Linked DNA regions of Struthio camelus. The protein of the gene in region 1 interacts with the protein of each later gene in a pairwise test. Links are inferred from orthologs where the notes say so. Each region holds a gene or a part of one and is shown on either strand. Other genes may lie near its edges.

The links.
Region 2: the proteins of PRRC2B (region 1) and YTHDF1 interact in a two-hybrid assay, tested with the Homo sapiens proteins (2 studies listed by BioGRID, with this or other methods). The link is inferred for Struthio camelus from reciprocal best matches to the Homo sapiens genes PRRC2B and YTHDF1.

The regions. Positions count from the first base shown.
Region 1 is NC_090961.1:6,034,529-6,050,247, forward strand, and holds the start of PRRC2B (protein PRRC2B), read right to left. Parts: upstream 6,685-15,719; 5' UTR 6,315-6,684; intron 1-6,314.
Region 2 is NC_090959.1:16,634,194-16,649,756, forward strand, and holds the start of YTHDF1 (YTH domain-containing family protein 1), read right to left. Parts: upstream 6,677-15,563; 5' UTR 6,540-6,676; coding exon 6,513-6,539; intron 6,095-6,512; coding exon 6,070-6,094; intron 4,504-6,069; coding exon 4,424-4,503; intron 1-4,423. Other genes in the region: BIRC7 (baculoviral IAP repeat-containing protein 7), read left to right, coding at 9,517-9,554, 14,615-14,693.

The DNA.
Region 1 (15,719 bases):
TGTGTATATATATATATATATATTTTTTTTTTTTTTTAATGAGCCCCTTGCTGTAGGGCTATTGACAAGTACTGGAGCAGTTCTGACAGGGTTATGTGAATACAAGGTAAGCTGGGAGATACATTTCCAGCATGTCAAGCTCACCTTGTAAGGGCTGCGTGGACTTTATGACCCCACAGGGTACACAAGTAGCTTCTCGCCCAGTGTAAAATGGGTAAAGGGCTTTGCATTTCCTAGGGCACGGGGGACAGGAACAAGCAGAGGAGCTGGCCTCTTGCGGGTTCATTCCTGAGCTTATTCATGGGTCACTGGTCGTGCAATGTCACCTTGGATGTCCTTCTCTACCAAAGAAAGGTGGTGATAGAGAGCTTTTGCAGTACATTTCCCTGGTGTAGGCAATGCTTTAGGAGGAATGCCTCCCCCATCTCCCCAGGCTTATAGGAACAGTGCAAGGCCTGGCACCTGGCTTACTGCTGATGAGGGATGTGTCTGATCTGAAATGCAGTCATCGAGACCAATGCAGAGGGAGGAAATACATGAACAGCTTTCTGGACCATATGTGATGTTCCTACAGCTGATCTGCAAGGCTACTGAAGTTGCCAGGCGCTGAGCTACTAAGAGATGCACCAGCACTGTTGAAAACTATCATCTGGCTGTCAGATCCCCTCCTTTCCTGGATATCAAAGTATTCCACTCTACTCCTGCCCCTCTCAAGTCTCGTCTCATCTTCCCTGCAGTGCATTTCTTCTCGGAGGCGGCAGGCCAATGCCCTCTGCTCCTCTCCTTACACCGTTCACATGGAAAAGCCTACCCTCCTTCCTGGCTTTAGCAAACTCCCACTCACACTAACTTACTCAGAGATCTGGGGCATTTGGTCAGAGTCTGGTGAATTTGGTTTTCCTTCTCCATTGATTTCCCTGTCAGGCCAGATACGTGTGTGTGTGTGTGTGTGTGTGTGCGTGAGCGTGTGTGTGTGCACGCGTGTGCGCACACACACACACACAGAGAAATAGAAGTTCTAACTTGCTTCCTGCCCATCCAAACCTCAGTGTCCTCCTTGAGAGAAGCTACAAGCTAGCCAAATTTTCAATGGTGGTCTCTGCTTTGGGCTGCTTCTTTTCACGCTTGGCCACCCTGCTGTGGGGGACCTGGTAGTATCACAGCCCGTGTCAGCTGGTGAGCAGAGAGAGGAGAGTGCACCATTTGCACTATGTGCTATTGACGCTCAACAACAACATATAACCAAAGGCATTAGTGTTGCCTCTCAGGAAATCGGTCACTTGCATACACTCATGCAGCCATCAACAACCCAAACCATCAGCAGGTGACTCACACAGGCTTGTCCAGGTTGGCTTTATGCACACCTGCTACTGTAATGAGCAAGTCTCCAAAGGTCTGTTGTGCATCTCCAAGGCAACAATCCAAGGCCAAGGGAATAGATGTGCTAATTAAAGATGAAAACAATACAACCTGGTGTGGAGATCAAGAAGCCAAAATAATCAAATCAAAGACAATTGTACACTCATTATCAGGTGAGTACGTCACAGCCCCCACACTCAAACTCACAGCTTTTCCACGTGTGCTGGGGCCGGCCCCATGGCCGTTTGTAGACTCTCATGGCCCAGCAGTGAATCACAACTGGGCTTCTCTTTTCTGTGCAGAACTGGGCATAATCTGAATAATGAAAAGACATCATCAGTCTCTGCCACCAAATGGAAGAGCATGGCTCCATTGCATCCCCGGTCCATGAAGATACCCCCAGGCCTTGGTATGAAGTGATGAATTCCTATGCTGCTCTTCCAAAGACCTGCCTCACCTTTTACTGGCCTGTGTATAAGTCAGGACAACCGGTGTAAGACTAGAGCTGGTGGAATTAGACCCACAAAAGGCTGTGAGGGAGCACTGAGGACAGTGAGAAGAGATTTGGGCAGAGATTGAAGAGCAAGTTTCATGTGGATGAAGTTCAGTGCACAACTCTACGCAGGACCCATTCTGGAAGGACTCCTACTCTGCTTTCTGACCTACTCCAAAAAGCTGAGCCAAGTAACCCATGGACAAAAGAGTCAAACTCACAACCTCCTGCTTCATCTTCCCAGGATTAATTAGAGGTGAATGCAGGACTCCTGTTGTATGCTTCACCCTTCCTCTAGTGAAGAATCCTGTCAAATAGAAAATAACCATTCCAGAGGGCTTTCAGCCATTGTATAGAGTTTTATCTATAGAAATGTCTTGTGGTCTAAGGCTTCCTAGAAATAATAGAATTCCTATTATATTCTACAGCTTTGTCAAACATCTGCTCTACCTCTATAAATCCCCAACCGGCGGCTTGCATCATGCAGAGTGATGTACAGCAGAGCAAACTGAAGGCTACATGCTGTTGTGCGATTTTGTTATCACTTTGCTCAGCTGCAGCCTGCAGCATAAGACAAGGCCTTACTGCCCTGGTGTTCATTCACAGAACTCCACAGTCCGTTAGGAAAAAAGCAAAGCTATCCTGTTCTCTTCCCCACCCAGAGGCCATTCAGTACATATGAAGTATTCATTTGCCTCACTGGATCAGGCCGTGGTCCTTCTAGTCTCCATCTGTCTGAGACAGCAGCCAACATCAATCAGCTCTGCAGAAGAAGCAGGCAGTAGATAGTCATAGCGTAACCTGTCCATGGGAGAATGTTCTTTCTAATCCGATGAAGTAGGAGGCCCTGAAGTGTGACAATCCATTTCAAATTCAGTTGTGTCTAAATCAGGAAATGCCTCGTGCCTGCACTGACTTCATTAGCTCATCCGAGATGGTTACGGGGAAATTCAAGCCTGCGACTAAGTGAACAGGGCCTTAGGAACCAAAAGCCAGTCAGCAAGAACATGAGAGAATTTAGCTGTCATATACGTGATGCAGGAGAGAAGACATGAGTAGCTCTGGCAGTTCTCTGTAATCCCATTTATGATGCTGTGTTATCCAAATATAAGGAAATGCTTTTAGAGACAGACCTCAACTAGAACAAAGGGAGATTAGGTTTCAGGTATAAAAGGTTTATTTTTCTCTTCTCGTTTGAGGCCTAATATTCATAGAGATGTTTCCATAAAATTGTTTTTAAGGGAATAAAGAGGTGTTTTCAGGAGCAGGAAAGCTGGAACGTCTCACTTCCCTAGGCTAAAGCAGAGTATGAAATTCTGGGAATAGGAAAAGAACATGAAAACCTAGGAGTTTTGGCCTTCACCCCACACTGGTTTGAATCTGATCAGTGAAAGCAAAGACTGCAACCCTGCTCTCGCTTACATTAACTGATGGCATGGGGCCCCTCTGTACATCTGATTTAGCATCTGTGGTCTTGCAATGCAATTATGATAGCTCTGCTTTCAGATTCAGTTTGTCTAGTTTCTTGGGGTCTAATCCCAGCATTTGTTGTATGGATAGCTGAGCAGTTCCCAGGGTACTGCCTTATTTCTGTGTGCTAGGTCATGAAGAGGGATATAGTCAGAGCTAGCAAAATGGGCTTCTGCAGAGTCCCTCTTACTAATGCTTGCTTTAAAGTGGGACGTGATGAGAAGGAAAAAGTGAAACAAAGGCTGTAAGTCCTGATCGTAGCTAGAAAACATGATTGAGAACACAGATATCACCTAGCTACTGCTAGTAACGGGCCACGGGATACAAACGTAAAGTATTCTAAACTGTAATATTATTGTCTCTTAGTGTGTTCTGGTGGGACATCATATTTAGCATTTTTACTTGCATTTAGCATCTCAACATTGCATTAGTCACTGTACAAACACTGAGGAACAGCAGGGGATCAGACAAATTTATTTTCTTTTTGATGGGGTAGAGAGTAGATAACTGTCAAGTACTATTTTTACTGGCACTGATTAGGAAGTTTTTCAAAGCAGTGTTTCTATCATAAGAAAATGTCATATTTGCCATAAATAACATTTTTGTGGAAATTTATACTTTCTGGCAAAAATGCTCCTCAGGTCTAAGATGGAGCTACTGTTTAAAACAAGTCCCCAGGACAGTCCATGGGCTAGCCTTGGTGCCCTCTCCCAAAACGTGGGAGATGTCCATCCAAGTCTTTGTTCTGAATCTGTCCATCTCTGGCCCTGAAACTACTGAAGCATTACATGTACAAAGATTTACTTTACAGCATAGCGGGAAAAACCTTGAGCCATAGTTAAGACAAACCACAGACTCGACCAACATTCTACCTGAATGGCCCTAACCATTGGGCAACCTTGTTCTGGCTGGTGTTTCTGGAAGCAAAAATCCCTAAATGCCAAGTTTTCATTGTGCATCAAAGGATGAATGTCAGAACCTCACTGTTTTCACTGAAAAGAATCCTTTTTTCCCCGGCCTGCTCCATCCTGTAAATAACTGCAGCAGGGAAGCCCCCTGTTCATGCATGACGTGTGCTTTCCGTACCAGAGAGAAACAATCCTCTTGGTTACCCAAGTCCTCTTCCCTCTTGAGTATCATCTGCTTTTTGGCATCTGCGGTTGACTGAAGGTCTCTAGCTCTTTCTTCCCTGGCTAGACCTCAGCTGAAGGATGCGGTCTGAGTGCCCCATGCAAGGCGCGTGCTGCGTTGCTCCCGCATGCTATGCGGCAGGCTGCCTGCTTCCTTCTTACTCTCCCAAAGGCAGGTGGCCGCTCTCTCGAGGTCCCCTCCCTCGAGGTGCCTGGAATAGGTCCAGCAATCTCTACTTCTAGAGGTCCTTCATCTCCCCCCAGCTCCCATTCTCACCGCCCACCAAATCCCACCGCCGAGGCAGGATGGACCCAGTTGCCACTGACTCCAGTTGCCCCTCACAGGGTTGGGGGGAGATAGGGTGCCCCCAGCCACAGTCTTATTTGCTGGTTTTTTTTTTTTTTTCTAGTTATCCTGGGTAGGAGCAGACTCACGTAATTGTTGCTCCTCATAGCTGTTGGATCAGGTAGAAGTTGTTCCTGTTCATTGTCCTGCTCTGGCCTATGGGAATTGCAGGCTCTGTTTAAAAACAAGATGCCAATGAAGCATTTCTGTTTGCCAGGCTATTGTTTGTCCTTCTAAAGTCTGCGGACCTACACGACTCTCAGTCAGAAAACGCTGACTGCCTGAAGGACAAAACAAAATGACTATTTAAGGCACTAAAAATGAAATCACTTAAAACAGGGCTGATTAAAGGAGGAAACTATCTTTCCAATGAGAAGTGAATTGGTTTCAGCTGGCTTTAGCATGGAGCCTCGCCTGCAATGAGAACCGAATGCCAGTTGCTTGACACTGCAAGTATTTTGGAGACACTTCATCAGCCATTACTTCAGTTTTTCCCTGTGTGTAACTCTGCAAAACAAGGCCGCTCCTTCTGCTCCTCCTGGTTTGGTGCTTTTTCTGCAGATCCTGTGATCTGCAGAAGTTAGCAAGGCTGTTCTTAGTGCAGCTTTTAAAGCCCAAACTCCTTTTCACTGCATCTACGCTGAAGCCTTCACTCAGCCTTGACTATCTAAACAGCAAAAGGGTTCAAGAAAAATTCAAGCAGCATCATACATCTTTCTTACAACGAGGCAGTTAATATTCTTCAAAAGACTCCAAAGTTTGTTGGTGACATGCTAAGTTTTCAACACACTCAGAAAGAGAAAAAATAGGGAGATGTAGCTGCAAATGCTAAGAAGCTTTACCAGACAAGGACCTGTTCATTACAGCGCTTGCTCCCAGAACACGCTGAAAAACACTGCTAGGAGGGTGTCTGCTTTTGTAGTTACACCTTTGTTTACTCTCTGTCAAATCCTGCTTTTCAAAGAGGTTAGGGAAAAAAATCAAGACAAATATGAAAATCCAGTTATTTGATGTAGAGGCCTAGAAAGCTTGTCTCAAAACCACAAGGAATATTTCTGAGAAAGGTAATGCGTGACTACGTTAGATGAACCTGACTGACTTTTGTAGCAATTCATAAGGGGTCACTGGACTGCACAATATATCAGTCTTTTATTTGGCTTTAAATCTGAGGATCAGCAACTGTCCCAAACAGCACTAGAGCCAAAACGTTGCAGAGCTGATGTGGATATTTTAGCAACAAAAACAGGTGTCTTTTCAAAATGACATTTCATTCACTTTAGTGCATCCAATTATGAAAAACTACAAGCTGCTCTGGGGACAAATTCAACCAGATATTTCAGGCTGGAATTAGTCACAAGATCTGCACTGACAAAGCTGGAGATATCTCCCAAAAAATAAAAACAAGGACAGATGAATCCATATTTTCCCAAAATTTATCAAAGGAATTTTAAGAAACGTCAAAGTAATTGATTTTGTAATGTCTACTATTCAGGATATGCATAATTTTATTTCCTACCTTGAAACCGTCATGATGACCACAGATGTGGCAGGAATGCAAGTTCACGGATGTGTTTGTGATCACAGTTCCAACTTTCAATCACGACCATCTGATTCCCCAGCTCCATGTGTTGCAAGACAGCTGTTGTTTTACCGTTCAAAAATATCTCGCTTCACCCCGCCAAAGTGAACTATCAGCTGCCTCCCAACGTGCTGACGCTGATGAGAATAAGTGATTTTTGGTAGAACTGGATCCCCTGCTGCGAGCCAGGAGACTTTGGCTGTGCCTGACAAGCTTGGCTTTGATCACAGCCTGGCCAGCGAGTGAATCCTGCATACATGCAAAGACAGAACTGGTCGCTTGTCATGAACAGAGGCTGCAGGGTTCACTTTGAGGGCCCCCGAAGCAAAGGTCATTACTTGAACATCTCCGCAGCTCTAACGTTCCCTCATAATGCAATGCTTTAGTGAGTAGTTTGTCTCATGACTAGATTTGTCCCTTCCATCTCATGAGATCACAGAAAGTCCCTTTTGAGTTCACTCTCTCCTTTAATTATTAACACAATTCCTAAATATTTTAGCGGGAGCTAAATATCTATGCTCAGGAAGACACGGTCTCAGCCTGGAAGACCCAGCCACCAAAGACCCTTTGCCTGGGGCATAACGCAGAACGGGACATTAACTTACCATGGGGCATAACGTGGCATGGGGCATAAATCGGCTCAGGGCTTTAACTTGACATGGGGCATGACTTAACAGTGGGCCACAACACAGCGTGGGGCATAACTCGGCACAGAGGTTTAGCTTGGCATGGGGCATAACTCGCCACGGGGTTTGCGCGGGGTAGAGCATGAGATGGCTTGGGGTGTGCAGTGGCATGGGTACGGCTCCCAGTGGGGCGTGCAGGGCATGGGGCATGGGGCTTGGGGCATGGCTCCCAGAGGGGCATGGGGCATGATTCCCAGAGGGGCATGGGGCATGGGGCACGGGGCATGGGGCATGGGGCATGGGGCACGGCTCCCAGCGGGGTGTGCAAGGCATGGGGCATGGGGCATGGGGCACGGCTCCCAGCGGGGCGTGCAGGGCATGGGGCATGGGGCCCGGGGCACAGCTCCCAGCGGGCATGCTGCGGTGGGGGGCACGGGGCACAGCTCCCATGGGGCATGTGGTGGTGTGGGGCATGGGGCACGGCTCCCACGGGGTGTGCTGCAGCGGGGGGCACGGGGCACGGCTCCCACGGGGCGTGCGGCAGCGGGGGGCCCGGGGCATGGCTCCCACGGGGCGTGCTGCAGCGGGGGGCCCGGGGCACGGCTCCCACGGGCGCGGGCGGCAGCGGGGGGCCCGGGGCACGGCTCCCACGGGGCGTGCTGCAGCGGGGGGCCCGGGGCACGGCTCCCACGGGGCGTGCGGCAGCGGGGGGCCCGGGGCACGGCTCCCACGGGGCGTGCGGCAGCGGGGGGCCCGGGGCACGGCTCCCACGGGCGCGGGCGGAGCGGGCCCGGAGGGCTGCGAGCAGGCAGCCGCGGGGCTCGGCGGCGGCGGCGGCCGCGTCCCCGCTAGAGGGAGCAGGAGCCCCGGGCTGGCGCCGCGCCGCAGCCGGCCGGTGCGCGGCCCCGCGGGCCCCGGGCCCGGGCGGGCAGGGCTGGAGGGCGACCAGGAGGGAGGGGGCGGAAAGGGGGGAACTTGATGCTGTCTCTCTCTCGGCTCCCTGTCCCGGCTCCTGTCCCCTGCCCCAATCCCCTTCCCCAGCCCCTATGCCCTGCCCCAGCTCTTGTCCCCTGTCCCAGCCCCTATCCCCAGCCCCTGTCCCCTGCCCCAGCTCTTGTCCCCTTCCCTAGCCCCTGTCCCCTGCCCCTGTCCCCTGCCCCAGCTCTTGTCCCCTGTCCCAGCCCCTGTCCCCTGTCCCCAGCCTCTGTCCCCTTCCCCAGCTCTTGTCCCCTTCCCCAGCCCCTGTCCCCTGCCCAATCCCCTTCCCCAGCCCCTATGCCCTTCCCCAGCTCCAATCCCCTTCCCCAGCCCCTGTCCCCTTCCCCAGCTCTTGTCCCCTTCCGCAGCCCCTGTCCTCAGCCCCTGTCCGCTGCCCCAGCTCTTGTCCCCTGCCTCAGCCCCTGTCCTCAGCCCCTGTCCGCTGCCCCAGCTCTTGTCCCCTGCCCCAGCCCCTGTCCTCAGCCCCTGTCCGCTGCCCCAGCCCTTGTCCCCTTCCTCAGCCCCTGTCCCCTGCCCAATCCCCTTCCCCAGCCCCTATGCCCTTCCCCAGCCCCTGTCCGCTGCCCCAGCTCTTGTCCCCTGCCCCAGCCCCTGTCCTCAGCCCGTCCCCTTCCCTAGCCTTTGTCCTCAGCCTGTCCCCAGCCCCAGCCCCTGTTCCCTGCCCCAGCCCCTATCCCCTGCCCCAGCCCTTGTCCCCTTCCCCAGCCCCTGTCCCCAGCCCCAGCCCCTGTGCCCTGTCCCAACCGCAGTGTCCTGCCCCAGCTCACCCCCAGGCCCTGTCCCCTGCTCCATCGGGGCAGGGACGAGGCTGCGTCGGCCTCAGCGGGGGAGCAAAGGAGAACGGCCAAGGACGGGGGAGAGGCAGGAGGCCGGGGCGGGATAAGGATGGAGCCGTTCTTCCCCGGCAGGGCTGCGGGTGCTGCCCCCGGGGATGGCAAGACGGGTGCAGGGACACCCCTCTGCCAGCCCAGCGCAGCCCCGCTCCCGGCGGGCCGGCGTCCTAGGCCCCGCGCGGGCTGGCAGGCGCTGCGGCGGGAGGACGGCCAGGGCGTTATTAATAACCTGCTGAGTCGGGGGGGGTCTTGGGTTTCAGGATCACAAGATGCGGACGCCGAGCAGCTCGGATGGATTTCCAACCCCCCCCCCCGCCACTGCCGCCAGCTCTTGCTTTTCACATTGACGGGGACAACTGCGAAGCTGGCGGGGGGCTGCGGCCGGAGGCGGCGGGGGACGCGCGGTGCTGGTTTAACGCATCGCCTTCGCCGCTCCTCGCCGCGCTGGCAGCGAGCCCGGCAGCCCTGCGGCGCGGCGCTGCCCTGCGGCTGCGGCTACCAGCGCAGGGCACGCCGGCCTGGCGGCTCCCGCCACCTCCAGAGAGGGGTTTCCAGCCGCCGGGACCCGCTAGCTCCTGGCTCGGCCCCGTGAGCTCAGTCAGGACGGAGCAGCCCCCTGCACCCCGAGCGTAACCAAATTGCATCGCAGGGAGACGAAGGAGCCTCTCGGGCTTCGCTGTCAGCGCTGCTTCCCTGCAGCAGCCTCTCCGCAGCCCAAGCGAGTGGCGTCGGGGCTGCGTGTCCTGCTGCTCCCCGGGCCGACGGGGCCAAGGTCCTCGCGAGACGCACAGAGGGTTTGGAGGGTCTTGCAGAAAAGCACACCGCGCTGTTTAATTGCAAGAGTTTTTTGCAAGGGATAATAAAAACCCCGCAGGCTGTTAGGTCTAGCCGGCAGGGGACAGGCTCAGCCCTCCCGAAAAGCACGTGGTGCCACCCCGACGGCCGCCGGGTCACCTGCGTTTCCCCTGGCGCGCTTGGCAGGCCCAGGGCTGCTCCGGGATGGCGCTTCCCTATGCACGGCTGTGGAAAAGCAGTCGGCGACGGGGCACAGATTAACTTTCAGCTCCAGCCGCCCGCCGGCGCGGCGCGCACTGCCAGGGTACCAACAGCCGCTGAAGGAATAAGAGCCACCCCAGGCAGAGGCCGCGTCCAGCGGCCACGCGTGGCCGAGCCCTCGGCCCTCCCGGGTCCACATGGTGACCGGGGTCCGGGTGGTCACGTCTGGAGCTCTTTAGGGCCACGCAACCCAGCGGCCTGGGGGTTTCCCTCCCGCCCCGCTCCCCTTTACCCCTGCCCCAGCTCCGCCGGTGCTGCCGACAGGGAGGATTCCCGGGCATCCAGGCTGGCACCCAGGTGGCACCGCCACCTATTTTTCCACCCAGGACAGGACCAAAATAGATCTGTCTCGTGGCTCTGCCGCAGCTGTCAGGACACGGCCCCGGCTGGGCGGGTTTCCCTGGCCCCTCTGCCGTCACAGCGCTCAGACCCCGGTGTCTGCAATCGCTGTTGCTGTACCTGCCGCTCACGGCGGCGGAAATAAGTGACGAGCTGAAGCTGCGCTCGACTCCTGCGTCCCCGGAGAGGTCTCACCTCGGTGCAGCAGGCTGTCTGAGCGGCAGAGCCCCGTTCATTTTAATTAGACTGATAGCTCTCAAATCCCATTTACCTTTATGGGTGTGTTAGCATCTCACTGCTCCCCCCATCCAAGTCCAGATTAAAGGGTGAGCGAGGAATACGTTTCGTGGCGATATCACACGTAGGCTGTTAACCCCTGCTGCACCCCGGCGAGGCCGGACCACGTCGCGGTACTTCTCTGCGACGAGTGAACCGAGGCGCCGGGAACCCTGGCGCGGCTGGCAGCAGCCTGCAGCGTTAAGCCACGGATCGGTGAGAAACCCAGTCGACAGGTTGTGTTTTAAAAGGGGTTTAAACCTTTTAGGACAGGCGTCTTTTGACAGGCAAAAGAAGGACAAGCCCTGAAAGGCGGTAGCCCCGCGAGCCTCCCGTCTGACTAGGTGTCCCCTCCCCGTGGGGCCCATGCAGCTCGCTTGGATTTTAGTGATCATTTACCATCGCGACACATTCCAGCACTTAAACGAGCTCCTTGAGAGGTGGAGATAAGGTATCAGCTTTCCGGTTCATCTTGCCAGTCCGTCTGCAGCAGATAAGGATGTGGGCAGCAGGAAGAAGGTTATCTAGAAAGGAAGCCGAGCAACGGCTGCTGTTATTGCAGGAGGCTTGGAGAGGAGGAAGCCCACCAGGAATCTCGCAACGCATGCAAGCCCTTCCCGGCTGGATTCGATCGGCCGTCGGAGCCCAGCTGAGCCTTCCTCCCGGGGGGACGGCGCCTTCCCGCGGGGCTGCCGCGCCGGCCCTGCTCTCCCGCGCCAAGGTGCCCCCAACCCGTTGCTTTCCCTCTCCGGCCTCCTCTCTCCCACCGTCACCTGCTCGGAGGAGCTGCCAAAGGAAGCGCCGGTTTTGGTGTCTCTGCCACCCCTTCCCGGAGACCTGACCGCCCTTCTGGGCCGAGGGCTCGGCGAGAGGGAAGCTTGCCGCGCAAGACGGGGGGGGTCCCGCTGCTCTGGCTTGCGGCCGGGGCCCCCGGAAACCAGCCCTCGGCTCTCGCACTGCTCACCGAGGAGCGGCGCGCGCAGGAGCCTAGGACAATCCCCAGCCTTTCTTAACCCGAGGATCGCCTCGCTTTTTGGGAGAGGGTGGCGGGGGAACAAGGCACGTTGGGGAGGGGTACATTTGCAACCTAGGAAAAATTTGCCTTCCCTTTGGATAGCCGTTTGTTACTTTATCTCCCAGTCTTTATTCACCTGCTGGCTGGTGCAGGAATGATGTATGCCATTAAAAAAAAAAAAAAAGCCGTTTTCACTCAGACTTTGCCCCTTTCTGCCCCCTCTGAATCTGCCCAGATCCCCTCCCAAGACATCCTCACCACATCCCTCCACGTGCTCCTCTATTTCGCTGAGTCCTATTAATCTCCACTTTACATAACCCCGAGCTTGAGCTGAGCGCAAAGGCTACGCACTAACACGCCGTTAATGCACATCTGTAGGTTTGGCCTGAAAGCAAACAGAAGCCCCTCGCACCCGAGGAGAGGGCAAACACCGCAGGCAGCTTCGGGGGCAGATCGCAAGGGCGAGAGGGCAGCAGCCGCGCGCATCCCCGCGGCCGACCTCTGCGGCCAGACGTCGGGGCTGAGGCCTGAACAACCGCCGCATCGAGCGCGTTTAACTACTGCAAAGCCGCTCGGCCGCAGGCAACCGGCACCCAGCGCCCCGAGCGCCTTCGTCTCCAGGCAAGCGCGTCGCTGACATCCAGCGCTTCAGCGCTCGCCTCCTCCTCCCGGTGCTCTTGTCTGAGTCACCGTCTGCCGGCCTGACTTTCCGCCGCCGCCGGTCGCGGGCAGCCCGGGGCCAGCGAGGACGGCGGACGGCGCCCCGCGAGCCAGGCTGACCTGCAAGATGCAAAGAAGAGGGGTCCTTGTGGCCAGCACCCACCCACAACCCGTGCGCGGGTCCCGAGGGCGAATCGGGGCCGGGGGGGACTCTGCAGGGACAGGGGAGCTTCGGGCGCCCGGAAGCCGGGTGTTTCTGCTTGAAATTTGTTGGAAACACTTCAACTGGGGGAAGAGCTCAATGCGATGCCTGCAGTCAAGTCCGCTCCCGTCCGGCGGAGAGGCTCCGAGCCACCGCACTGTGACGGGAAGGGCGCCGCCACTTCCAGCGGCCTCGAGCTCGGGCACCTCAGGCCACCGCCGCGTCCTGCAGAGGCTCCCGGGGCCGAGGGGCGACAGCAGATCCCCCACCGCGGCGGAGCGGGGGGGACCACCAGCCGCTCCAGCCACTTTGTTGGGGCTGCGCAACGAGCAGCTCGTCGCAGGCCAGCCGTGCCGGGAGAGGCCTGCCCTGCCCGGCGAGCAGGGTTTCCCCGGGGGACGCCCCGCCAGCCGGGGGTCCCGCTGGCTCAGCCTCTCCCCCCGCTCGGGCTGCCAGAGCTTAACAGCTTGCATGCGACGCCCGCGATTAACTTTTCCTAAATCTGTAATTCTTCCCTGCCTTCTATTTTTATAAAGGCAAGGGGGAGGCGGGGGGGAAGGTGGCATTTACAAGGGATTTCACTCAAATAACGAAATAAACGTGATCAGCCGGGGGACCCTTAATCCGCTTTGGCTCTTGCGTCCCGGGGAAGGGGAGGGGGAGAGCTTCGCTGCCTCCGGGGCCCAAGCAGGCGGGAGGGAAGCAGCCCCGTCGCCCCCCTTGCCGCAGAGGGCAGAGCCCCCAGGACACCCTGAAACCAGGCGTCCGGCCGTGCCCCCCGCACCCCCCGGCAGCTGGAGGAACCGTTTTAATCTGGGGGTGTCTGCCCTGCCCAGGGAGCTGTGCGCGCCAGCAGCGGCAGCGGTGGGAGCCCGGGCGCCTGCCACCAGCCCCTACCGCTGGCAGGGAAAGTGCCTCAGTTTCCCCGCCGGAGACCATCTAGCCGGATTTGGAAACGCTGCACGAAGGCGGAAGGTTAGACAGGGTCACGCTTACCTCCCGCGGGGGCTGCGGGGCGTCAGCCGGGGCTCTGGCGTCGGCGCGGGAGAAAAACACCGTTTCGGTCCTTGGCTCTGGCCCCGCGGCTGCTGCATCCCGTGCCCAGGCCCGGCCCTCCGCTGCCAGCAGGGCTTGCCAAGGCAGCGCCAGCCACCTATTTCGGGTGGCCCAACACATATAAAAGCCACCAGCTGCATTTGCAAGGACTCCTCGTCCGGCTGCGCTACTGACCCCCCCCGACGCCCCCTCCGCAGCCAGCACGAGAAACACGCTTGTGCAAAGCGGAGGATCCAGCCTATTCCTTTAGGCTTTGCCCAATATATTCAACTTTTAACCTGGGGAATGACATGGTTAATTACCACTTTAATACGCAAACTTAACTGGAAGTCGTGCAAACGAGCTCCCTAACTGGGGAGGAGCCTTTGGGCCCCAGACAGGAGTTTGCGGTCGCAAGGGATGCTCCGAGCGAGCGGCAGCGCCGGGCAGCCGTGCGCTGGCCGGCCCAGAGCCGCGGCGGCCGGTTAAACCCGTGCGTCCCTTCGCTCTCATCGGCAACGTCCCAGGGTGAATGAAGGGGGGGCCTTCATCCGAGGAAACCCAGCGCAGGGTGGGCTAGAGCCTCAGCCGTGCCACCACGGGGAGATCTTGTATAACAGCCTCCCTAATCCGCCCGGCCCAAGCGAGGCTGGACGTCGCGGGCTGGTGCGAGAAGGGATTTGTCCCACCTTCGTCTCCCCGCAGCCCCAGATATTACCGAGGCTGCGGACATACAAAACAGCTTGTTCAAATAAAACACCAGCTTAGCTTGGGGAGGGGGGAGCTAAACACCCCTGCCGTGATTCCCACATATGCCCACAGATATAATCCAGATTTGCTGCTTCCCTGGCATCCTTCATATTTTTTAACAAATTAAAGCCTCTCTTTTGCTGCCGAGCGTAAGCAGCATCAGGGCGAGAGGAGGAGGGGGTGTTTGACCGTACACGGCAGAAATACGGACGAAATCCCCGTCGCCGCTGCCACAGCGCCTGGGACGCTGCCGGCCGCGCTCGGCGGCGAGGGCAGCCGCCCCCCGAGCCCCCGCGCTGCGCTTGCCTCCGCCGCGGCGTTTTCTTGCGCTGCAGCCGCTGCACGGATGGAAAGTCGCAAGATGCCCAGAGCCGCAGGCGGGACTTGCTCCTGCCTCCGGGGCCGGGGAGCCCTGCCGAACCTGCCGCATTCGCTGCGAGGTGGCAGGTCCCAGCGGGCCGGCGTCCCCCCCCGAGCCTCGCACCCAGAGCCCGACACAGCCCAAGCCGGGGGCTGAAGGGTCAGGGGACAGAGCCACGCTCCTGGGCAGCCACCGGGACCCGCTGGGCCTTTCGTCCCTCTCTGCCGCGACCTGTGGAAGGTCCGATGCGCCCCTGCCCTCCGTTTGGCTTATTCCCACCTGGTCGCAGACGCAAGGTGTTACCGAACTAGAGGGGTTTTTTTTTTTTTTATACCCTTGGTGCGAGCACCAGCACAAGCTCCACGAGGGCAGAGAGCGAGGCCCAAAAGCTAACAGGCCTCAGTTTCAGAGTAACACGTACCTCCAGGACCCACCGGCGTTTCGTACAGCCGCACAAAATCCCACGGCGAAACCCGAGGCCGGCCGAGAGCACGACCAACGCTGCCTCCAGCGCGGGGCCGGGCACCGCTCCCGGCGGCTACTGCCAGGGCTGTGGCCAGCTCCAGCCCTCCGAGACCCTGCGAGGGGTGATAAAGCCCTGCTGCACCTGGCGGCCCGGCTTTTAAGGACGGTGACGACTGCGTCCTTGCGCCTGGCTGCAAGCAGGACTCGCAGGCTAGGAAGCCGACGGCCTCGGCACAGCCACAAACCCCAAACCCGCGGAGGTTTTCCCTTCCCTCGCGCTGCTGTACCCAGCCCCAGCAGCGAAGCTGCGTGAGCGCGGCGCCGGGGCACCGGTCCCTCACCGTGCTGCCTCCCCGCTGCCCCCGGCGCGAGCGCCACCGTGCCGGGAGGGACAGCATTATTCGCACTTACAGCTTAGGGCAAATCCCCGCAGGTAGCACCTTGTCGGCGGAAGAGCGTCTCCGCACGGCAGTCGAAGCGAGCCGGGGCGACGGGGCCCGGGGTGTCCCGGAGGCAGTCACAGCCCGTTCGGGTACGGCGATGGCTCGCGACCCGTCGAGCTCTGCCCCGGAGCCGGCCGGGTACCGCCATCCCCGCCTGTTGCTATACGGACAGAGGCCGGGTACCGCCACAGCGATGCTGCTCGTTTCTTAGCGCTAACTTGGGCATGACAGGCAGCCGGGAGAGGGACGCACAAGCCCTCGCAGGCAGGTTTTACGTGAGCA
Region 2 (15,563 bases), on another chromosome or scaffold:
CTACAGGGTATTTAGTGGCTTCATCTAGAATGTTTTAATCTATCAATATAGCAAAATATTTCAAGGCACTTAAACAACAGAATATATTTTGTATCACACAGCACTTGTGATAGCAAATATTTTCTGATTGCCAGAAGACAGTTGCATAACAGTTTTAGATGAAACTGCTTTAATAAAACAGCATATATAATAGAAAACATGATTACAGTCCTTACTATTGAATTGCTTTGAGGGACCAACTGCTCCTAACAAGCGAGACATACCTCAAGTGGTAAAACATTGAAAGGCTCCTTCTGACACAGACGCAAGACCACAGTGAGATCAGATACAAAGTGTGCCCAGTTCGGTATAAGTAGACCTAATTACTAGAAACTCAGATTACAGGTGACTGGTATGCTAGAGATAAACACAAGTAAATACAGCATGCAATATATGCCAGCAAGCCATCCAAACTTTGATCCCACTCAAGCTTCAGCAAAAGTCTCTTCTTCCCTCAGTAGTAAAGTCTTAAGTGTGCAGGACTGCTCCTGACAGGCCTTCCAAACCGCCCATCTTTTCCACTCTATGAAATAGACTGACCTGTTATAAACCAGCAGATCCCTCTTTAAAGCTCTAGCTTTTCTTCTCTTTTCTCCCTCTCAACCGCTTTTTAGACCTGAAGAGTCTTTCCTTCCACTCCAAATCTTCAACTGACACCTTTTTTTGAAGTATTCTATAACGTTTCTCATAGTTAGCAATGTAAAAGAGCAAATATAGACTATTCTAAAAGAGGTATTATTCTTCCTTATAAAACTTGAAACACAGATACTGGAGACCTTCCAAAATGAAACTCTAAATGTAATTAGAGTTACAGTGAGGGGGAGGGAAGGTCAACATCTCCTGTTAATGAGTCAAACAGTAGCTAATCTTCCCTTACTCACAGAGAAAGATGATTTTTAGTAAGAGGAACTAAGACTTCTGTAAAACCTTAATTAAGGTTCCAAAATTGAAAAAACATATTTCACAAAGTCAGCTAAACTGCATTGACATTTTAGCAATTTTTTCAAACACAAGATTATTTCTCACCTCAGTCAGAAAAACTAAGAAACTTCTTACTAAATATATAAGCATAATACCCTGATACATTAGATTCATTTTTATTGCTCATCTTTCAGTGATGACAGACTTCCACAAAACCCAAAAGCCAGACTAGTTCAACATCCTTACTTTCCATGTAAAGAACGTTTCCATAAAAAGTCGCCAAGACCTATATGTACACACCATAGAAACTACTGAAATTTAAATAGCCTAAATCTAATGTTATCTTTTTTTGATTCAAGAGACATATCACCTCTACCACTTCTCTTGTTGCCTTTATTAACGTGCAAGTTCTATCATTAACAAGAGGTACACAACCCACCTTGCTATAAGATGATTCTCCAAAATGTATTAAATTTTCTAAGTCTCTCAAGCTAAGAGAGTCAATATTTAGCATACCAAAACATCATTTTTCTGAGTCACTTTGAGATTGGTATCTATGTGTTTTATCTTGTTGTGTTAATATCAGAAAAATGTAACAATAAATGCTGGTGGAAGGGGGAGCTGTAAATAGTTCCTAGCTAATACTTACTACTTTTGTACGTTCTACAGATGTAGTTTAAGATCAAAAAGAACAAGCCTAGACAAGGCAAGTATTTTGTCCCACAATATTTCTTTAGTGATTCGACACGATTCCTTAGACTGTTACCTTCTGTACACACAGCCTGTAAAGTTTCCACAAGGGTTCTAACAAGATTAAGGGAAAGTTTCAGCAGACATCCTTACAAAACATTCAATCTATTTTGACTGGCCACAGAGTGTAAGAGAAACCCTGATGGAAGTCCTTCACTGCAGCAGTTTATCTCAACAAATTTATCCTTGACCTTTCTGCACTTCTTCCATGCTTTTTAAAAGCAATCTTTGTGTTAATTAGGAAGAGAATCCTTCTTTCTCCCCGAGTACTCTGCTTGCTTGTATTATGATACACTCTCACAAAAAATCTTCTGCTTCTGGATGAGAGTACATCTGGGATACCTTCCTTACTTTGAGTATATCTTATGTGAGCACTGTACCTCATTCAGTTCCCTCTGCACTGAGAAACACTTTTAGTGTGCTTAATAACAATCAGCTATCACACTTCAAATTTGATCTGCATTAACTACTGCTATTTAAATACTAGACCTTTTTTTGGCAAAGAAAAAGACAGCCGCCCTTAACTAGGTACAGTTTTCTATACAGAGATAGGAGACAAATCACATTTGATTATTTCATATGCTTAATACTCATTTTAAAGATTAATTTGTATTTTTACAAGACTAAGTTTAACACAGTATCATCATCCTATGTTTGATCTTTGATGTCTAGTATACTGGGTTTATCAGCAAGGTTCTTAATTTCTTTAATTATTTTTTCAAAATTCAGTTGCTTCAAACTTTTTTCTTTTAAATCAACTATATTATACAGTAACTTTAGAGGGCATACATCTGGCTGAGTAAGTAGAAATAGGCTTTGTTCAGAGATATGGTTGTCTTTATTGCAGAACCTCAGAGAATCCTAACTAATGCTACTGTCGCTTCCCACTTAAAAATATAAGACAACCTACACAATCATTTTTTTGCAGCGTGCCACAGTTTCTTGTTGCATGTCAGTTTCTTGTTGCATTTACAGGTCAGTCAGCAGAGCTATGCTTTCATGTATCATCACTTTATTAGACTATGAAAATTAAATCATGGAATTCTATAAATCGTACCAACTTTGTACATTTAATCCTAACAATTGGGCTTGTTGAGAGCTAACAAATACATTACTTGGAATTAAAATATAAGAGATGGTTCTATTTTTCTTCTACATCAAGTAGAAGGTTAAATGTATTTACATTAGAAAATATATCTTGGTTTTAAATAATTAAAAATTACATACAAATAGAAGGAAGTGTGATGACAAGAAATCACAGAGAGAAGAAGAAAGATACCAAGAACATGCATAGTTTTCTTTCAAAACTGATTTTGCATAAAGGGAATTTCACTTCTTTTCATCTTAAACTTCCTGCATTTGTACTTGCAACAGTATAACAATTACAGAGAACAGGACACATTCCCCCAAGAAATCACATTAACTTTGCAGAAGTCGGGAGAATATGTCTATGCAGCAGAGAACGATGAAGACCTCTGAGCGCAGCTCAGTAACCAGAAGCCTCAAAGCGCAGAGCTCAGAGCACAGTTCATGTTATCATATATATGCTTGCCTTGACTTCCGCGCTGGTGTGTCTAGACTGCTTCCAGGACTGAGATGAGCTCAGGTATCTCTACACTGCACTGCAATCTGCAGCCTCCTGTAATCTGCTATGATCCAAACTAAATCTGTAACACAGTTCCATCTATCTTTCTGCCCTAACACAGTGTTTAATATGCCTGGAGAATACCTAATTCACGGTATACGAATTGACAACGTTTGCTCTTGAGTTCACATTCAAGATTCAGTCACAATTTCCACACATGAAAGAGTAAGTCATATTACATACTATCTTATTTCAGTGCGTAGAAAAATGCTCTTCTGCAAGGAAGCTTAATGATGTCACCAATATTAACAGTGGCATCTATCAGCTACCAGCTTCATAATGCTGAATTGAAGTGTCCCATTTAAGACATACCTCTTAGCCTTTTTGCCAAGAAATAACAGCGTGCCTCTGCTAAGTCTCTTTCTCACACTGTATTTTATATTTGTGAAATGAAACCTCTTTTTAGCTTCCAGTTCCTAGACATTTTATTCATTTTAAAGATATAAGAAGTTACCTGAACTAGAAGATATTTTGTATTATAATTAATATTTAAGTCATGGATGTTTAGTGATGTACATGATAATGAACTAGATCATATTCCAGTGCCTTACTCTTAAAAAATACCACATTTTAAAGGCATTTCAGAGGACACAAAGGAAGAGCAATATTTGCTGATGGGTTATAAGTGGAATCGCTCTGTAATCTTTTCTAGAAAGCACTGAAAATAAGTTTCAACTACAGTAATTTTCAGGCTTATTTTAAAGACAAACCAGGAGACTCTCCAAAAGCAGAACCTCCAGAGTCTCATGTGTAGCTCATCTATCAAAGAACTGCAAGATCAAATCATCTGTCATAGTCCAACTGTATCAATAATCTGCAATTTGAGAAGCAATCAGTAGACAAGAGTTGGAGCGTTAACTTCATTTTCACTTGTGGCCATCTGGATACACGTAGCTGTATTAGCTTTGGGAGTACAAACGCTAGTTGCATTACTAAGTAACACAACATGCTAGTCATTTATTTTTCTGCTTCTATTTAAGTAATTTGCTCCTTCAATACAATCCTACAAATTGGTAGGATGCCTACCAGCATGCCCAAGAAACAAAACTAAATTACAAATACACTAACCTGGTTTGACTGCCCAGAAAGGTAAGGTTCAAAGTCGTTGTCATGAACTGTATCCTTCTGGTGTAATGAACCATTTTGTACTGGAAGAAGAGAGTTACAACAAATCACAACACTGCTTAGTAGCATTTCAGTAAACAGTTCCACCCTAATGTTACTTTATGAAGAGTCATATTCTTCTCCATGGCACAAAGAATCTTCAAAGATAAAAGGATCATACTCATCCCCATATAATCTTTGCATTACTGCTTGTAACAATTTGAATATATTTAATTTAAACCTCTAAATTTAAAAAGTTTAATTTTTCTACAGATGAGTGAATCATCAACTCATGTGAACTATTTCTGAACCAAAAAACAACAATCCTCGACAAGAATGTGTTGAAAAATATTGGGAAATCACATCTAAGGCCCTGGTCCACGATTAGAAATCTCAGAAACTAATTAACAACTCTCCCTGCATGTACTATCTATTGCTCGTTTAAGTTAAGTTGGCCAAAGTAAGAAAATCAAGTGAGGTTGTATTTAATTTTAAAAAATGACTGCGGATTATCTTGATATCCTGACAACATTTGCAAGCAAAACACAAGTCTCACCTTTCTCATGGAGGTATCCACGAGACTGAGATTTATACCTTAATCAAAGGCTTATATAAGCATAAATTAATGTGAAAAGCATTCAAAACCCATTCCTGAAAGATATTATACGAAAGCAAAATTGTTATTAGGTCACTTCAAGCAATTTCCACTGTTTGTTTTAAATTTAAAAAAGAGATCATACACACTATGTGGTGGGAAAATAAAGCAACTGTTTCATAGAACAGCTAAGTTAAAAATAACGCTATATGAAATAAGATGTTTAACAAACAAGTTTGGGAATTTATGAGATTTTTGAGAAAGTCCGTCAGCGACAACAGCATGTAAGAGAGTACTGATAAACACGGGATATAGAGTCAAACTTCTGGAGACTCCAGGCAGTTGAATTTTAAATTTTTTTTGTTTAAATATCGTAACCAGCCTAAACGAATGGCAAGATTTGGTTAGTTTCTAAGCCTCAACAGTTACACACTTATTAGCAATCACAATAATAATCAGAGTATTTACTTAAAATACTTGTTATTTAATTTTAATTTCAGATTAAGTACAGGAATTGTCATAAAAGTCTTACCTCATCAGAAGTGGGTTAACTATTGTTATTTCAAATTACTTAGTTTGTAGACTTCGAATTACTTAGTTCGTATTATGACAATTAGCATATATATGTCAACAGCAGTACACTAACAAAATTGTATTTATATAGCAAGAACACAGTATGCAAAAGTATGTGAAAATATATCTTGAGTATGAGGTCTCTGTGACTTTGTTATGTTGAAAACTGCTTTACTTTAAGGAAATTAAGAGCGTTATTATAAATATGCTTAATGCTAACCCACAGTCCTTCCCACTATAAACTCGGTAGCAATAAGTAGGATGCAAACGTGCTCCTAAGAGTAACGGTTAATATTATTTTTGAAACAAAGCACAACTTCCTTTGTTCCAGATGTTATCTGTGGGGACTGACAGCAATACTTATCTGCTTATGAACAGTTACCTGCATGATTTATCTGTTATAACAACAGTTTAAACAGCAAAATCTCAGCATATTCCTTACCTTTATTATCCTGCCCTTTCGGTCTCTGGGAAGCCACAGCACATGACAGAGTAAAAGAAAAAAGGGGAGGGGGGAGGACAGAAAAGAAAAGTTAATTTTGGAAAAATGCTCATATCGTCACTGCAAAGCACGCAGCTTATAGAGACAGAAAAAGTCTCTTAAAAACGGCTAATGACAAATCGAGGTTTGTTTAAACCGGGGCTGAGGCGTTCATTTCAGGTATCATTCGGCACTGGCCTTCCTCAGAAATGGCCACGGCTCTGGAAAGGCAACGGGAACGCGAGGTGCCTGGGGGGTTAGCTAACAAGAAAGATGAAGCCAAAAAAAGGAGCCGGGAGGCAGGGGCAGATCCTCTCTCGGGCCCGGGGCAGTCCCGGGCTGCAGGAGGACCCCCGCCCCGGGGCGGGGAGGAGGCAGGCCCTGCGCCCCGCTTCGCCGCTTACCTGAGGGTCAACGCTTGTGGCAGACATAATTCATGTACAGGGCCGCCGTGGTTCAGCAGAGAGGGACGGGGCTGAAGGCAGGGCCGCTCGGCGGGGCGCGGCGGAGGGGCGGCGGCGCCTCTCCCCTCAGGCGGCGGCCGGGGAGGGGACGGCGCCGGGGCCGAGGGGAGGGAAGGGGGCCGCTGGCGCGCGCCGCCGCCGCCGCTCGGCGTCTCCTCAGGGGGGCGCGGAAGGCCGGCGCCGATACCGGTGCCGTGCCGCGCCTGGCCTCGCCCTGCCGGCCCCGTCTCCTCACATAACCCCGGCCCGCGCCCCGCCGCGCCGCGCCGCACCGCCCGGGCCTGCCGCCGCCGTCGGGCCGCAGCGAGCGACGGAGCCGGAGCCGGAGCCTCCACCTCCAATGGCGGCGGGCGCCGGGCTGCGGTGACGTCAGCGCCGAGCGCGCGCGCGGCACGCCGGGAAAGCGCGGCGAGGCGCAGGCGGGGGGAGGGGCAGGTGGGCCGGCGGGGCGGGGCGTCACCGGCCGCGCAGGCGCAGTCGCAGGAGGGCGGGAGGCGCCATCGCCTCTCGGCCCTTCCCCCTGCCGGCTTGAGGGAGGTTCCGCTTCGCCCCACGCGGCCGGAGCGTCCTCCGCGCCCTCGCAGCCGTCTCCGGGCTGGACCGGACCGGGCTCTCCCCGCTCAGAGACGCCCACGGTGCAGCCCGCTCGGCGGCGAGGGGGGCCGCGCAGCAGCTGTCGGCCTGCCTCGGGCCGCCGGGCTGGGCTCGGGGTCCGCCCGGGCTCGGCTGCTGAGGAAATGGCGGTGCAGGCCAGGCCAGGCCCGGCTGGGCCCGGGCCCGAGCCCGAGGAGAAGCCGCCATCGCGGCCGCCCAAACGCGCGGCCCTTGCGCAGGGGCGGGCGGAGCCGCGGGCAGAGAGTACCCAACCACCTGCTCGCTGCAGCTGCTCTCTCCGTGTTTTTTTACCAGGTTAATTCACTCTTGTTTTCCTTCCAGCTGGGCTGGGTGAAGTTGAGGCCCCGCGACCAGAGCTTGCGTTGACTTCAGTGGGGCCAAGGGTTCAGCCGGTGGTTTTCAGGGAGGCTGGTCGTTCCCCTGCGTGCCCTGCCGAGGGGACGTGGGAACGTGAAGCTTTATTGAATAAGCACACAGAATAAGCACATGGTCAGCACTAGCTTATACCGAGTTAGGCATCAGTAGCTGGATAGTACTTTTTAGGGAGGCTTTGGCATTTCCATAATGAGAAATCAGATTTGATGAAAGGAATGCCCTTTTTATTTCTAATATTTATGTTCCAGCTGTTTCTCTGCTTCTTCCTACACACACACACACACACACACACACGCATATATAAAAATATATATTTTCAAATGGGTAGGATATCTAATGACCACAACAGTTGATGGTTCTTGTTAGCTTTTTGGTAGTGCTTAATGTCCCTGGGTCAAGGGACTGTTTATAGACCTTGCACAGAACAGAAAGACAGCCCCTGCCCTTCCCAAGGTCTTGTAGTCTCTTGGATGGCTGGTTATAATATGGAAAAATATGTATGATAATCTTTTTCATATCTGTTTCAGTTCAAATGACTAAATCATAATGTTTCATGGTGAAACAGGAATCAGCGTTGTGCTGCTTTCTTATTGTTTATGTTGTCGTAATACTCAGAGGTCTTACTGTCCGTGTAAATATAGCAAATGGTAGCTCACTCAGTGCCCAAATAGAGTATGGTGGACTGGGAACCTCTTAGGCCAGAACAAAAGAAAACACCTCTCTTGTGAACGATAATGGTACTAGGGGAGAAATGGCAACTATTGGCAATTGGTAGAATATAATTTTCTCTGACGTCTTTGGGAACCGGTGCGGTAACAGAACTTATAGCAAAGAATTTTCAGTGATTAATAATATGTCACCGAAATTATGTTTTAACATACTACATAGCTGTCTGACGACTCTTTAAGGAATGGAAATAACTGTCGATAAATTAGCTAGAAACCTGATTTTTTTTTTTTTCTTATCAAAATACCTGCAGAGATTTAGTTTGGTCACTCTCTTTTTTCCTTTGGACGTGCCTTTTGTTTGCAGGTTTCTTGACACAAACGCGCACAATTTATGGTTACCTGATGTGAGCAGTATAAGAGCGCATGAGGAAATGAATCAAGATCAGGCTGCCAACATATGCATAATATGTTGTGTCATTGCTTGAGGTAACAACTTATTTGATAGTTTGGGGTGCTGAATGAAGCATATCCAAGTTATGCCCCAATTCTGTTACAGTCAGGAAGCCTTTCCTATGGTTTTTCTCATGCTAAGCAACAGGATACATCGTATGAAATTGAGCTATTGTCTTGTCACTTGGGTTATGCCCAAAGTGGGCCTAATACTAACTTGTATGATGTTGATATCTGTTGATATCTTATTACTGAGTTATGCAAGTAGCTAGAACTCTGCTCAAGTTAGGAAAGACTCTGACGTAACGGGTAGCAGTTCCGGAGTTTCTAAGGTCTTACTTGTAACATCTCTGTGTTCGGTTTTGAGAGGTGAAAGTATAAAATTCTAGTCATCTTGAAAGATACAAAACAATTCAATCATCCTTTCTTTAGTTACATTAGAAAGAGAGTCATCCCTGTCTTCAGAAGGTCAAGAACTGTTGAGGTTTGCATTTGTCATTCTGATAGAATATCATGATTTATAGCAACAGACTGGGCCACTGCCCTGGAATGTTTAGTCCAATTTCTTTTTGTCGTTTTCCTGGTCAGTCGCCACGAGGTAAGGAAGAAAGGTTATAGCATCAAACCTCAGCACCTGGAGATACTTTGAGGTTGTGCGTTAGCTTAGTTTGCAAGTGATAATTGGTTTGTTTCATTTTAATTCTGTTTGCCATATGGTATAGCTATGGACAGAGTTGGCGAGTCTGTGCTCTTGAGAGTCCCTGGATGAGATGGAAAGGCTATCCTGAGGAACAGAACTTCAGAAAGCAGTGTGAGAAGAAAGCAAGCAGCATGAGATGAGAGTGGGCCATCTATCTGAAAGGAAGAGGGAAAGGTTTGTCCAGGGTACTTGGGTGATGAGCGCTGTTTTGAAGTCCATGTGATTGTATATGTTCAGTAGTCTTGATATAGAAACTATGTGACTATGAATCATCCTAGCCATGACTGTGGTGTAGGCAGAACGTTAGAACTATATTTTCTTCAGAATCCTAAGGTATGGGGGACTATAGCTATTAGACTGTACCTGTTATGTTAGACTCAAATATAGAGTATATTAAGGTGTGTTTGTGTGTATATATATTGTGTACCCCCCCACACACACACACTCTATCCCTAACTCCATATTTGTAGGAACATTTTTTTCTTTGGCATTAGGAAATTGTGAGTTATTTCTTCTTCCTGGTAACTTTAAGAGTGCTTCCACCCATCCATAAAGAAATCACGATCTTTTAGAAACAAAACCAGTAGGAAAAAGGGTCTATGTTAAACCATACAGATGCAAGCAATATTCAGAATGATATCAACTAAACAGAATCATTTCATCTAAACCCAGCCTACTCTTGGAGAGTTACATTGTAACCTTTAGTATAACAGGTTTTTGTTTAGTTTTGGCTTTGTTGAGTGAAAGATGGACCTATGTTTTAGTAAGGATACCTTTTCCCTGCTTGGTTAATGCTCTGAAATCTCGGAAGAGTTAATGTGTAAATTACAGAAGATCATTTTTGTTATTTAGATTTTACAGGGATTTGCTGCAGCCCTTTCTGCTTCGAGCATGAGGGGTAAACATTACCATACTGGAATCTTCTCTGTTGCCCCTTGTCCCCTTACGGAATGTAACCGAAGCATAGATTCAGCTTTAATTTCCATCATTTTAAGGTGAAAAATAAAGGCAGGCACACACAAAAATAGTATATTCTTTTCTGTTTTCATGTTGCTGGCATGGTCTTCTGTGAAAACATGAGAAGAGGAATCGTATCCAAAGTGTGGCCTGTGAACAGATGATATCACCGTCACACACCTGCTGTTATTTACAAGGCAACCTCATTGTAAAGCTGTGGCAAGAAGCTCAGCGGAACGAGGGCTGGCCACATGGCTCTCCCAAGTGTTCCTCTTGATCTTCTTCATTGGCAACTCTTTGTTGCTGTTATCATCTAGTTTCCATTAAATTGTAAGGATAATCTGGTTTTGCTCACTTATTAGAATTGGGTCACGCATCTTTCACTTCAGCATCTTTCACTTCTGCAGCATCCTTCAGGTGGATCTGTCATGCTCCTCATTTGTCATTCTTGCTATCAGTTACTGGTAGACAAAATCAACCTATTTGAGTGAATTTACATGAAGAGAAGAAACAGATGATTGCTAGTGTAAATAGCTCAGGAATATACCTTTTGCCTATTATCCAAATAATATTCAGGCAGCTAGGCACATCTCTGTGCAATATAAACATGTTCCAAGCTATGGCAGAATTTAATTGGAAAATTAGATGTTCTGTGTTCCTTGACGGCTGATTTTCCACCGATTAAAAAGTGGGATGAGCTCCATTAGATTCATAACAATGCCTGACAAATCCTTCTTTAAAGGTAATTAATGGCGGAATGGTGGAACATATATTAGTCACAAGCTGATAGCAATATTTCCTGAAGAGCTTCATTATGGTTTTTTTTTTTTTTCCCTGAACAATCTGGAGTAGCAATGCCACACAGTTTAGATGAAGCTACCTCATCTTTGGTTCCCTGTATCTCCTGCCAGGCTTTGAGTAGGTAGAGGGAATACAGTACAACTGTAAGACACTTCCACATTGGAGCTGAAGTGCAGCAGGAAATGGTTGGAGAGGTGAGAGGGAGAGGCAGGAGTAAAGAAGGTATGACTGATCTTTGGGAAAGTCAGCCAGATTCTACTCTGAAAGGGAGGCAGAAAGGGAATATTTTTCATACTTCAATGTTAACTGTGAGAATTGCTCGTAGCTGTTCATTTCTCTCCTTAAACTAAACTGTATTCTTAATCTCCTAACTTTTTTGACTGTGGAAGTTTCTACAACTCTCACACTTTGCTGCCACTCAGCAGAGCAATAATTCATTAAATTTGGGGCAGTACTGAAATTTTTCAGGGATTCTTCTTTTTTAGGCATTCAGAATTTTGGGGGGAACAAAAATAAAGTATACAATGAGTTGGTTTTGTTTGTGTGCTTTTTTTTTTTCTCCTTTTTTCCTAATGTTTGTATTCACTGGCAAAAAGAAGACACGGTAGAAAAAGAAATAAAGAGAAAAATATCTTTGAAAGTGAAGCTGCCAAATTTTTGAGCTTCAGAAGCCATGTAGAGAAATAAAATGCTTTCTACAAAAATTCTGGTTGTTACCTTTTGAAAACCTAGTAAACACAGTTTTTAAATCCACTATACCTTACAAAGAATTTTTTTTTAGTAGGCTGAACCCCAAACTCAGAAAGTTGTGAAACTGAGAATAAAACGTAGTAATGACACGTGAGAAACGCTTTGCTTTTCCTTATTCCAAGGAACTAGCATGCTAGTTTGCTTTTCTTTCAAAACACAGTAGGATTTTAAGGCCAATTCTTCTATTGGCTGTTTGAATATCTGCTGTACTTTGCAGATTTTTCTTTTGATCTCTACTGTGCTCTGCTCCTGTGAGCTAGTATATTAGTAGTATTTGATTCTAAGCGCTCTCATGGTGTTGCAAGTTACATTTTTAGCTATTCCCCACTGTTAAAATACATAATGTTTTGAGGCAATCAGATTCTATGGTAGTAGAGGCCATAGGAAAGAGTTAAGGGAGGAGGTTGGAAGGGTGTAATCCTTAGGAAATCACTTAAATCATAAGTTTATTTACTCACCTGTGTATTAGTTCTGGTAGTATATATTCGTGGTATGTGTATTCACTTTATAGCATCGTTTTTCAGGCTTCCAAGCATTAGCTTGTTAATCTTTGGAGGGACAAATCTTTTATTATTAGTTAGTAATGTCTTAAATTTGTTTCGTTAAATTTTGTTAAATTTTTTTGTAACTGTGTTGAATTTGGTTTTCATTATCATGTAAAAAATTCAGGAAAGGAATTTAAAATAATCATCAGGTGGAAAGTGCAGCAAGGGAAACCTTGGCAAGCAGAGAAGAGAGCACTTTAGATGTATACTAGTACTTGTTATGGTTTAAAAAAAAAAAAAAGCCTTGAGCTGAATGAACATTTAAGCTTTGCCCTAGGGGAATGACTTTGTGTTTCTCTCTGGTGCGACCAGTCACTTTTTGATGTGCTTTGTCATTACTCACTGGGTTAGATCATGCTTCCTGTCCACAGTGGAGTTATTTTATGAATGCCTTGGAGTTTTGTGTCAACAGGCAGCAATGTTCTTTGGTCCCTCAGTGCTGCATTGGAAGGCTCAAATTGGAGCTGAACAGACAGGCACCATAGAAGATTTTATCGATGCAGGAAATACAGTGCCAGCAGCTCTTAGGGGAGCAGCAGAGCGTGAGTGTTTTGCTGCAGGATGATACCAGCTGGCCATTCAGTGTGAAGGGAGCTCAAGGACAACAGACAAGGAAGAGGCATCCAGAAGAAGAAAAGCAAGGCCATAAATGGAGTCACAGAAGCAGTTGCCTACTTCTGTGGCAACAAATTGGATGATGCTACCTCTTCTGCCTCAGCCTGGCAAGCAGTTACACAACCAAGTCTGAACCAAATCCTGTTTTCTTCTCAAAAATGGATCCGTGTTGTCTTGTAGAAGTTTAGGGTGGTTCTGAGCAAACAGAAACAGGAATTTTGCTATAAAATTCCTCAGTATCGAGCCCCCTTACACATCAGTTGCAGTGGCAAGCTATGGCACTTGTATTCCTGTTCCCAGCCTCTTTGCTTCATGGATAATACCAACTGACGCGATTTTTTTTTTTCTATTACAAAAGCCTCTTTCCTCACGAAGTTTCTTATTTGGTCTTAATTTATCAACGAGTGCACAATAGTGTTCCTTAAGCTAAACCAAACAGCAGCTTTGTCAGAATACAGCTGCATAGGGCCTCAAGATTAGAGATGCTGAACTCCGTTGGAGTTTTTCCAGAGGTTCCAGTCACTTCAGCTCTTTTGAGCTATTCATCATGCTGTCTGGCCCTTGTATTTATTGAATACTTTCCTTTCAAATCAGGGCAATATTAACATTTTAACTATTTTCAATTAATTATGTTTGTATTCCTTTCTTCTTAGACTTTCAAGTCACTGGCTAGCACTGGTTTCCAGTTGGCCCTGGAACGAGCTCAGCAATGCATTTATTGCTGATCTATCCTGGACACCTGTACTCTTGATGCTTACTGATTCTTTTTTTTTCTTTAGCTTATTACTCTCTTTGGTTTAACAAGTGTTCACAAGTTCAGTAGGACATTTTGTTCTCTAAAAAGGAAATGAAAGAAATTGCTAAAAAAGAATAGAAATAAATTTTAACATGAATACATAATTATAATACAAGACATTATTAGTTGCATACAACACGTTACCTAATACATTAAATGCTGTCAAACATTGTTAGCCTGCTAAAATAAACCCCATCATTTCTTCTTGAGCGTGCTGGCTTATTTTTAGTTTCTGTCTGCAACAGACTTGATGTTACTTCATGTTCTCCTGCTACAGTTGTCTCACTGATTCTTCTGAACTCTCCTTTGTTTATGAAGTGATTCCCCCCAAAATCTTACATGAGGGTCTCCTCACAGAAAATAGCAAACCGGTCTTGAAGTTTGCATGAAGTTAAAAGGATGGTATGTAATAGTGCCAGAATCAGCCAAATGTCACAAATTGGAGGTCAAATGTCAACAGAATAAATACGAACGGGACTGTATACCTTTGTTGGCATGTTAGAGTACTCTAACTCCTGTTCTGTCTGAGCAGTTTCAGTAGTGTTAGTATTATCTGTTTCATAACAATAATGTAATCTTAGTGAGATTTTACTGCAGTGTGGGATTAGACTAGCAGGTTTGCTCTGGGGAAACAGTAGTAGTTAAAATAGGTTAAGGAGATTCTCCTTTAGCCAGTTTTCTCGGGAAAGACTTCTCCGCTTTAGGGCCTTAACCTAGAAGCAACTTTTTGGCTCCTCTGAGGTTTTATACAGCTTTTTGCTCTTTAACAGGCTTGGTGGATGGGGAAGTGAGGATTTAGAAAAGAGGAAGGCTTGTTCTTGGCACTACCCAAGATACCTCATAAACTTGGTAAGTTACTTAGTTACCCTGTGTTCAACATCACTGTCTTTAAAATGGGGGTAAAGGCTGTATTTTGAGAGGTTTCCTTCAGGTACTCTCAAAAGCAGATTTGCCCATGGCGTAATGTGATGGTGGAACCAGAGCACCAGGCATCCTGGAGGCTCTCCTCTGCAACAAGCAGTGTTATACAGGTTTGGCAATTCAATACACCTTTAACACAAACAACACTCTGTCAGTGCTGCCCTGTGCTGCGGACAGATTGTTTGTGTGTTGCATGAAAGCATCCCAGAAGCTGCTTGCTGACTGCCTATGAGGCCGAGGTATGAACGTGAGATCGGCAGATCAAGGAGTATGCTGTGTTCCCAACTGCTCCTGAGATCACATTTTAAAAGCAAGGTGGTTGCTTGTAAAATGCTTCATATGACCGTAGCTATCCTTCTTATCTATTAACAGGTTCTTTCCTATAACCCATCAACAGAGTTCCCAAACTGCCTCTGTAAAAGAGATTTTGTTAACTGTCTGTTATATATTTTTAGGATATGTTCTTCAAAATCCATATAGACTTACAAAGAACAGGATATGTGGAGTAGCAGATCATGTGGAATTGCATATAAATTCATTATGAAAAAGTAAAAAAGAACCAAATTCACATGTTAAAAATTCTGTAAACTTTGCAAATAAGCACTGCCCCCTACTGCTCATAAGTTTTTCATTAAAACATATTTAGTTAAAAATAAATAAAAAAGAGAAAGTATAAACACCAGTCTTTTTAATTAAAATGTTTGTATAGGTTTACCTGTAACAAAAAGGCTTACAGCTCTTTTTTTCTTAAAAGACACAAAGATCGGTTTGTTTTTTACAAGTGTGAAACACCTGTAT